Linked DNA regions of Rattus norvegicus. The protein of the gene in region 1 purifies or fractionates together with the protein of each later gene. This does not show direct contact. Links are inferred from orthologs where the notes say so. Each region holds a gene or a part of one and is shown on either strand. Other genes may lie near its edges.

What was found.
Region 2: the proteins of Mos (region 1) and Fkbp5 purify together in Homo sapiens (affinity purification with mass spectrometry; 3 studies listed by BioGRID and IntAct, counting the BioPlex papers as one, with this or other methods). This does not show direct contact. The link is inferred for Rattus norvegicus from reciprocal best matches to the Homo sapiens genes MOS and FKBP5.

What each region holds. Positions count from the first base shown.
Region 1 is NC_086023.1:21,656,913-21,660,227, reverse strand, and holds Mos (proto-oncogene serine/threonine-protein kinase mos), read left to right. Parts: upstream 1-1,371; 5' UTR 1,372-1,541; coding exon 1,542-2,570; 3' UTR 2,571-2,679; downstream 2,680-3,315.
Region 2 is NC_086038.1:6,540,648-6,545,145, reverse strand, and holds the start of Fkbp5 (peptidyl-prolyl cis-trans isomerase FKBP5), read left to right. Parts: upstream 1-1,590; 5' UTR 1,591-1,677; intron 1,678-1,728; exon of another isoform or gene 1,729-2,226; coding exon of another isoform or gene 2,227-2,253; intron 2,254-4,498. UniProt on the Homo sapiens protein: Immunophilin protein with PPIase and co-chaperone activities. Component of unligated steroid receptors heterocomplexes through interaction with heat-shock protein 90 (HSP90).

The DNA.
Region 1 (3,315 bases):
CTGTTTTCCTTTTTCAGTTGGGTTTGATATACATGTACAAAATGGGGGTTCTATTAAAATGTTCCACTGTTTACGTGTTTAACATTTTGTCCCTTAATATATTTGAAACTACTCAACTTTTATTCTCCCTAAATGTTTACTTTCTTAATTTATTACATAAAGCATCGAGGCTGTAACAATTATATACTCTGTGCAAGATGACACTAAACCATATCATCACCATTAAGCAGAAACCTGGAGTTTTGTGAACTTTGAGTTTTTTATATAAATGGCTCTCTGTTATCAACTTGCCTTCTCAAAATCTGTGATTCTGAGGTCAGAAGGACACAGCTGCCACATAAACACTGACCACTTATCACCATGTGCACAAAAACACGTTCCTGCGTGGCTAGAAAGTGTAACTCCTAACCACTTTGAGAAACCGTTTTTGAATGAACAGAGCAAGGTTGTTGTTCTTCCCTACTCCCCGGAAGATAGGGCATGAAAAGCAAACACATTATTATAAAACCAAAAACGACGAATGTGTGGTTTGACGGCCAGACCCTGAATTTATGTTCAGTATCTGATGGGGACCAGTGACTCTGGGCATGTCTGTCCTGGCTTTTCTCCTGTTTCTCCATGATTGCTGTTATTTTCAGCTATGGTCATCACAATCACCTTTGTCCCTTTCTTCCTCCTTCCAACTCTGCGTTAAATTCCAGGAACTTGTTTGCTGTGAAGTCTAGAATCTGTCTTGAAGCAAGCTTGCTCTGTGACCTAACTTGCCTGGGAAAGGAAGGGACGGTAGAAGTCAGTGTGTTGTTAAGGAGTCTTAACTTGCTGTTTAAATGAAATACAGTGTCAGATTGCTCCCTTCTGATGGACTTAGGAGGTACGAGTTCTGCCTTCTATCCGAGATTGTATTTGGATCAAAGACATTAAAATTACAGATGTTAATTCTTATGAAGGTTGCATCTAATAACCCTGCCAAGTAGTTCAACAAGTGTCTGCTGTTTGTACTGCAACTCTTGCAGCCAATAGCTGCTGGGACTGATTTAATGCAGCTGGAGACTAGCACGAACAATCATTATAGCCTGAAAAGTGTGCACCAAGTTCACTGTACTTTTGCTTTTCTCTTCAGTCTAAGGACCAATTAATGATCGTCAGAAGGTCCTTGAAATGTTTTTTCATTGTATTATGATTCAAGAATTAGTTGGAAGGAGAGGTGAGCTTTGGGGCAGGCCAGTACTGTTTAACAGGTGAGAGGTTGTTTTGCTAAGGATTCACTTTAGCTGTGAGAGAGCAATCGTTTCATCTGAGACTGCCAGGCTTCATCTGCACGCCCAACCCCACCTGATAAAAAAAAAAACAAAACAAAAAAACAAAAAACCAACCTTGCTGAGCAGCAAGACGTGAGAGCACAGTTGTGGCTGGTTTTGAGAATACAAGAAGAAGGGAAATGGGATGAAGGCGGAAACCTTCAGCCATGCTTCCAAACTTCCCTGGGTGTTCCTGGTCATTTCTCTCTAGCGTCTCTTGTGACTGTCCCATCTGAGGGTGTAATGCCTTCGCCTCTCATCCTGTGTCGCTACCTCCCTCGCGAGCTGTCGCCAACGGTGGACTCGAGGTCCTGCAGCAGCCCCTTGGTGGCCTCGAGGAAGGCGGGGAAGTTCCTGGGGGCCACTCCTCCTCGGGCCCCGCGGCTGTCACGCCGGCTGGCCTGGTGCTTCATAGACTGGGGACAGGTATGCCTGCTGCATAGGCTGGGTTCTGGAGGGTTTGGCTCGGTGTACAAAGCCACTTACCACGGTGTTCCTGTGGCCATCAAGCAAGTGAACAAGTGCACCAGGAACCTACGTGCATCCCAGCGGAGTTTCTGGGCTGAACTGAACATTGCAAGGCTGCACCACGACAACATAGTCCGGGTTGTGGCTGCCAGCACGCGCACGCCGGAAGGTTCCAACAGCCTTGGTACCATAATCATGGAGTTTGGGGGCAATGTGACTCTACACCAAGTCATCTACGGTGCCACCCGCTCCCCAGAGCCTCTCAGCTGCAGAGAGCAACTGAGTTTGGGAAAGTGCCTCAAGTATTCCCTAGATATTGTTAACGGCCTGCTTTTTCTCCACTCACAAAGCATTTTGCACTTGGACCTGAAGCCAGCGAACATTTTGATCAGTGAGAAGGACGTTTGTAAGATAAGTGACTTCGGCTGCTCCCAGAAGCTTCAGGATCTGCGGTGCCGGCAGGCGTCCCTTCACCACATCGGGGGCACGTACACGCACCAAGCTCCGGAGCTCCTGAAAGGAGAGATCGCCACGCCCAAAGCCGACATCTACTCTTTTGGCATCACCCTGTGGCAGATGACCACCAGGGAGGTGCCTTACTCCGGCGAGCCTCAGTACGTGCAGTACGCAGTGGTAGCCTACAATCTGCGCCCGTCACTGGCAGGGGCGGTGTTCACCGCCTCCCTGACTGGGAAGACGCTGCAGAACATCGTCCAGAGCTGCTGGGAGGCCCGCGCCCTGCAGAGGCCGGGTGCAGAACTGCTCCAGAAGGACCTGAAGGCTTTCCGAGGGGCACTGGGCTGACTCCATCGAGCCTGTGTGCAGATAAGCTTTTCGTTTCTGTTTATTTTTAAATAAGTAAGGATGGGCTTTTAGGGCATATTTTTAGAAAATAAAGTTACTACAAACTTCAGCCTGAAGTGCCTTTCCTAAGACTAACGAGGGTACAGATATCATGGGCACCACTCACGGTTGTTAAACAACCTGAGCCCTTTGTGTGTCACCTTTCTGGGTCTACTGTATCATTTCCGTAGTAAGGTTTGTTCCTGAATGAAAAGAGAAAGGGGGTGGGAGGAGGGGGCACTACTCCTAGGAATGAAGGAGAAAGTTTATTGCGGATACGAGGGAGACATAGGACATAGTCATAGACATGGACATCTGGCTGAGAAAGCCCAGAGCGGACATGTTCCTGAGCCATGTGAGAAGTAGTAGGAGGAGAAGGGGGAAGGAAGACAGAAGTAGGTACAGCAGCTGGAAGATTCAAAACGGGAGGGGGAGCTAAAATGGATTATATAAGAAAGGACAGCTGGGGAAAGGGCAGCCCAGTCCCTGGGTTGGAGAAGTTTAGGGCAGAGGGTGGGGCGTGCCAGTCTGGAGCACTCTGTAGTAGACAGGGACTGAGGGATGCAGGGAGAACCTGGCAGCAGGTCCACTTCGATATGTTAAATAGGTACCTCAGCCCTTCGTCCTGGGTTTGAAAACTAACAGTTACTGATAAAGAATATTTTTCCAAAAAAGAATACCACTATAGACATGCCACATTTGCCCC
Region 2 (4,498 bases), on another chromosome or scaffold:
GACATGTGCCACAGTCCCTGGAACATTACTGAGGTGTAGCTGTCCCTGTCTGCTAGCTTGGAGCCTTTGAGAGCCGGTCCAGTGCCTTCTCACCTCCCTGTATTCTCCTTGCTCTCAGTAAGCAAAGAAGATGCTTAACCAACTGGCATTGGTGAGCAGAACAGTCGCCATCCACGGCGTGTTGTTGAATTCATGTGGCCACTCCCCAGGAGGTTGGTTAAAGGAGGTTTCCAATCATTGAGGAAAGGCGAGCGACTGAGGAGGACCCCTGTCTTAGACAGGGGTCTTTACACCAGTTTTGTCTTTTCCACAGTCGTCTTGGAGGATAGGGAAAGAAGGACCATATGATCACCCACATGGTGACATTTAGACATTTGATATATATCACCATACACGGGGGCATTTATCTTCCTGAGTTCTAAAGTGTGACAATACAAATTAAACCAAAACTAAAACAAAAAGCAGACGTGGAACCAGGAAACATGGATTCTCACATGGCTACAAGACATTTCATAGGCAATTGGGACTTTTACTCCCAGAGAGAGAGAGAGAGAGAGAGAGAGAGAGAGAGAGAGAGAGAGAGTGTGTGTGTGTGTGTGTGTGTGTCTGGAGAGATCCCTAGCTGTTATGAGCACTGGCACTTGCTGGTTGCTTTCCCAGCCTCTGGGAGAGCACAGGATGCTTACAACTCCAGTGACAGGGGATCCGACGCCCTCTTCTGGGCACTGCACTCACAGGATACACACACACACACACACACACACACACACACACACACACACACACACACAGACACACCCTCCTTAGGCAAAACACTCATCACAAACGTTCTTCTAAAAATCTTTTAAGAAACCAACAGTTAGAGCTGAAGTCCCAAGGTGCAGCATCTGAGCGTCTGAGGAGTCACCCAGAGGTGGCGAGTTGGTGGGGGAAGGGGTGCCATCTTGAAGCTGAACTTGGCTCAACAGCCCATCCTTTGGGTTCTTTTCTGACCTCATTACCTGCTGTGTTGCAGAGGCAGAGATCCCAAGGGAAAGCGTGGTCTTCACGCCCACTGGGTGTCCAGAGAGAGGTGCTAGATCGGATTCTTCCCAGTCTCTAAAGGAGCATCTTTAAGTTCATGAGGTTATTTTCCCGGGGTCAGCATGGCCTGACCTCTGCGGCCTCGTGAAGGACGGGCTGGGTAGACAGACGGACGAGGTAGGCGCTTGTCTGGTCCGTATTCTGTCTGGAGGCAAACGAGAAGAGGTATCAGTCAGCTTCCTCCATCCCTCCTCTCCGGCCCCCACAAAGGGCAAGGGCCAGACACGTGGGCCGCGGTGAAGAGGCGGGGATGCAAACGAACGGGGCGGAGGCTCATTTGCATAGACAGTGCGCGGCCACCAATCAGGACCGGCGGAGCGGTAGCCCGCGCGCCTTTTGGGGGCGGATTGACAGCCCCGCGGCCCTATGGGAGGCGGGTCCTGCGGCCGGCGGGGGCGGGACGACGGCGGGCGCTGCCCGGCGCACTAGCCGGCTTGCGGGCGCTGCCAGTCTCCGGCGGCGGTGTCCGGCGCGCGGCTGAGCGAGCGAGCGAGCGTGCGGACGGAGCGGCGGCCTGCTGGGCGGGCTGAGCGGCGCGCGCGGCGGAGAGACGCGAAGCGAGGGACGCAGTGGCGGCGGCGGCGGCGGCGACAGGTACGGGCGCCATTGGCCGCGGGGATGGTGCGCGCGCGCGCGCGGCGGACCCGGGAGCCGGCCCCGTGCTCGCGGTCCCGCTTCTGCCGCCCCTAGCGCGGCTTCCCTGGGGTGGCGTGGACGGGGCGTGCGGGAGGCCTGGGCCCCGCGTGGGTGGCGGAGCGGCCGGCGCCCCTCACCAGCGTCCCCCTCAGCGCGGCGCCGGCTCTCTCGCCCGCGCGCGGCTTTTGTTTCCCGCGCAGCCCACAGGTCCGGGGAGCCCCGTGTCGCTCCGCCACGCCGCCCTCCGGACGCGGAGGAAACTTGGCCTTCCGGAGCCCTGCGAGCCTCGCGGATAACGGAGCGCCTCGCCGCGTCCGCGGGGCCGCGCGATGGGCGTGCCGGCCGGGCACCGCCCTCACCTGCCGCTCCCGAGCCGGCTCGCACCAGGCAGGCAGGTGACCCGAGGGCCTCGGAGGTCCGGAGGAGGAAGGGCCAATTAAAAGTTGCTGTTCGGGCCTCTGAGGTGGCTGAGCGGGTACCGGCGCTTGCAGCCAAGCGTGACACGACATGGGTTCGATCCCCGGAACTGACATGGTGGGTAAGGCGAACCGACTCCCGCGAGTTGTCCTCTGACCTCCACGTGTACACAACACAAACACACACCTCTGACTCTGATGCACACGCTCATCTCTCACCACCCCACCCCCTCTCAATAATACTAAGGAAATAAAAGTTATTTTAGGAGTCTTCATTCCCTTCGGCCCAGCGATTATCACCACTCCTGTTCCGGCCATAGTGCATGACTCCAAACGCAGCATTTTGTGTGTGTTGGAGGGATGAATCTAAGGGAGCCCAATGCATTGTGATCATCTTCCTCCTCCTCATCTTCGCCTGTGGATGAGCCAGGTGGGGCGCTTGCGCCTCGTTTTTTAAATCATTGGTGTCTGCAACCGTGGCGAACGCGTTGGAAGAAGGTACAGATCGTAAGCAGAGCGTGCAGAACTTGGGACAGCCCTCGGCGGGGCTCGGGACAGTGTGTACAGCGCTTGGCCGCCATTCAGTAAATTCTGCATGCGGCAGTTGGGAGCTGGTGGTTTGGGGATTTTTTTTTTTTTCCCTTTCAGGAGTGTGTATTCCAGAGAACTAGGGCTGGGCGTCGAATGGGCGCTTTCTTTGCTTTCTCTAGGGGTGGGAGAGAGTGTCTGTTTCCATTGTCTCTATTTTCACAGGGTTGTGAACAAGGGAAGGGTTAAGGTGTGCTTGGGTTAAGTGTTTTGCCTCTTCCTTCCCACTTCTTGCTGTTAGCTTTATGTGTTGTTGTTACAAAATTGTAGCTTTTCCTCGTGGTGTCTGAATCAATTCAAGAAATGACTTGGGGGAGAAAAATCTTATTCTGGTGGGACATTCTTACCCTGTAATACTTTCACTTAACTGTTTTCTGTTACTCTCCAACCTGTTCCTCATTTGCCCAACATGCTTTGTGTGTGTGTGTGTGTGTGTGTGTGTGTGTGTGTGTGTGTGTTTGTGTGTGTACGCGTGCGCGGTATTTTTTGTTTTGTTTGGTATTTGAAATATCAAAGTTTTATTCCTTTGTTACTGGGAGTTTACTATTCCATTAAAACATACATAAAGTTCTGTAACCTAACACTCTTTTTTAACAGCTTTCACTTTGGGGGGTTCTACAGAAATGGGGTGCTTTAGCTGTTTTTAAGTACAAAGGTTAATAGTAATATTGTTTGTTAGAAACACTCCAATTAGTGTTCTCCCCTTTGTCTTCTGATGTGTCATGTGTGGTAACTGCCTTGGATATAATCTATACTTCAGAGATGTTGAACTTCAGAGCACAGTTAATTTTTATTTAATTACACTAATTAATTGAACAATCATTTTATTCATCTAGCTAATTTGAGTTAGCTATTAGTTGGGACCACTTGAGATTATTATTATTATTTTTTAATTTTGCTTCGTTTTTTGAGACAGGCTTTCTCTGTGTAGCACTGGCTGTCCTGGAACTCACTCGGGAGACCAGGCTGTCCTTCATCTCAGAGATTCCCCCTGCCTCTACCTCCCAGAGCTGGGACTAAAGGTGTTCACCACCACTGCCCAGCCACTTGAGGTAATTTTAAGTTAATCCAGGAATATTTTCTGCAAATTGTTTTAACACAATAGATTCATTAGTGGGGCTTTTGTCATTCCAACATTTAACAAAAGGATGTTTCTCTAGTCACTTTTTAGATTTTATCTTTCGGTCAGTGTTTGTGAGAGAACTTGGCACAGGTGTGGTTGTCAGAGAACAGCTTTGGAGTTTTCCTCTTGCCGTGTGTGGGTCCTGGACTTCCAGTTCCGGTGGTTTGGTTTGTAGGCTCTTTCCTCCGCTGAGCAGTATCACCAGCCAGCATTTCTTTTTAAAGACAGTTTAAACCACCTCAACATGAAAAGCCTAGGGTTCGGGATTGGGCAAGTCAGTTACTTTTTTTTTTTGTTTTTAAAGATTTATTTATTTATTATATATAAATACACTGTAGCTGTCTTCAGATACACCAGAAGAGGGTATCAGATCTCTTTACAGATGGTTGTGAGCCACCATGTGGTTGCTGGGAATTGAACTCATGACCTCTGGAAGAGCAGTCGGGTGCTCTTACCGCTGAGCCATCTCTCCAGCCCCAGTTACTTTTGAAGATTTTCTTTATTCTTGGGCTGGAAAAGAATGTGTATTGTGTCGTTAGTTCCTGAAGGCGAGTCAGGGGGATGTGTGCCGCCGAGCTTCAGTCAGCTGAAGCTCTGAGAGTCTGAAAGCTGATACAGGGCTCTTCCCCAGCAGAGCCGGCTCACCCTCCCT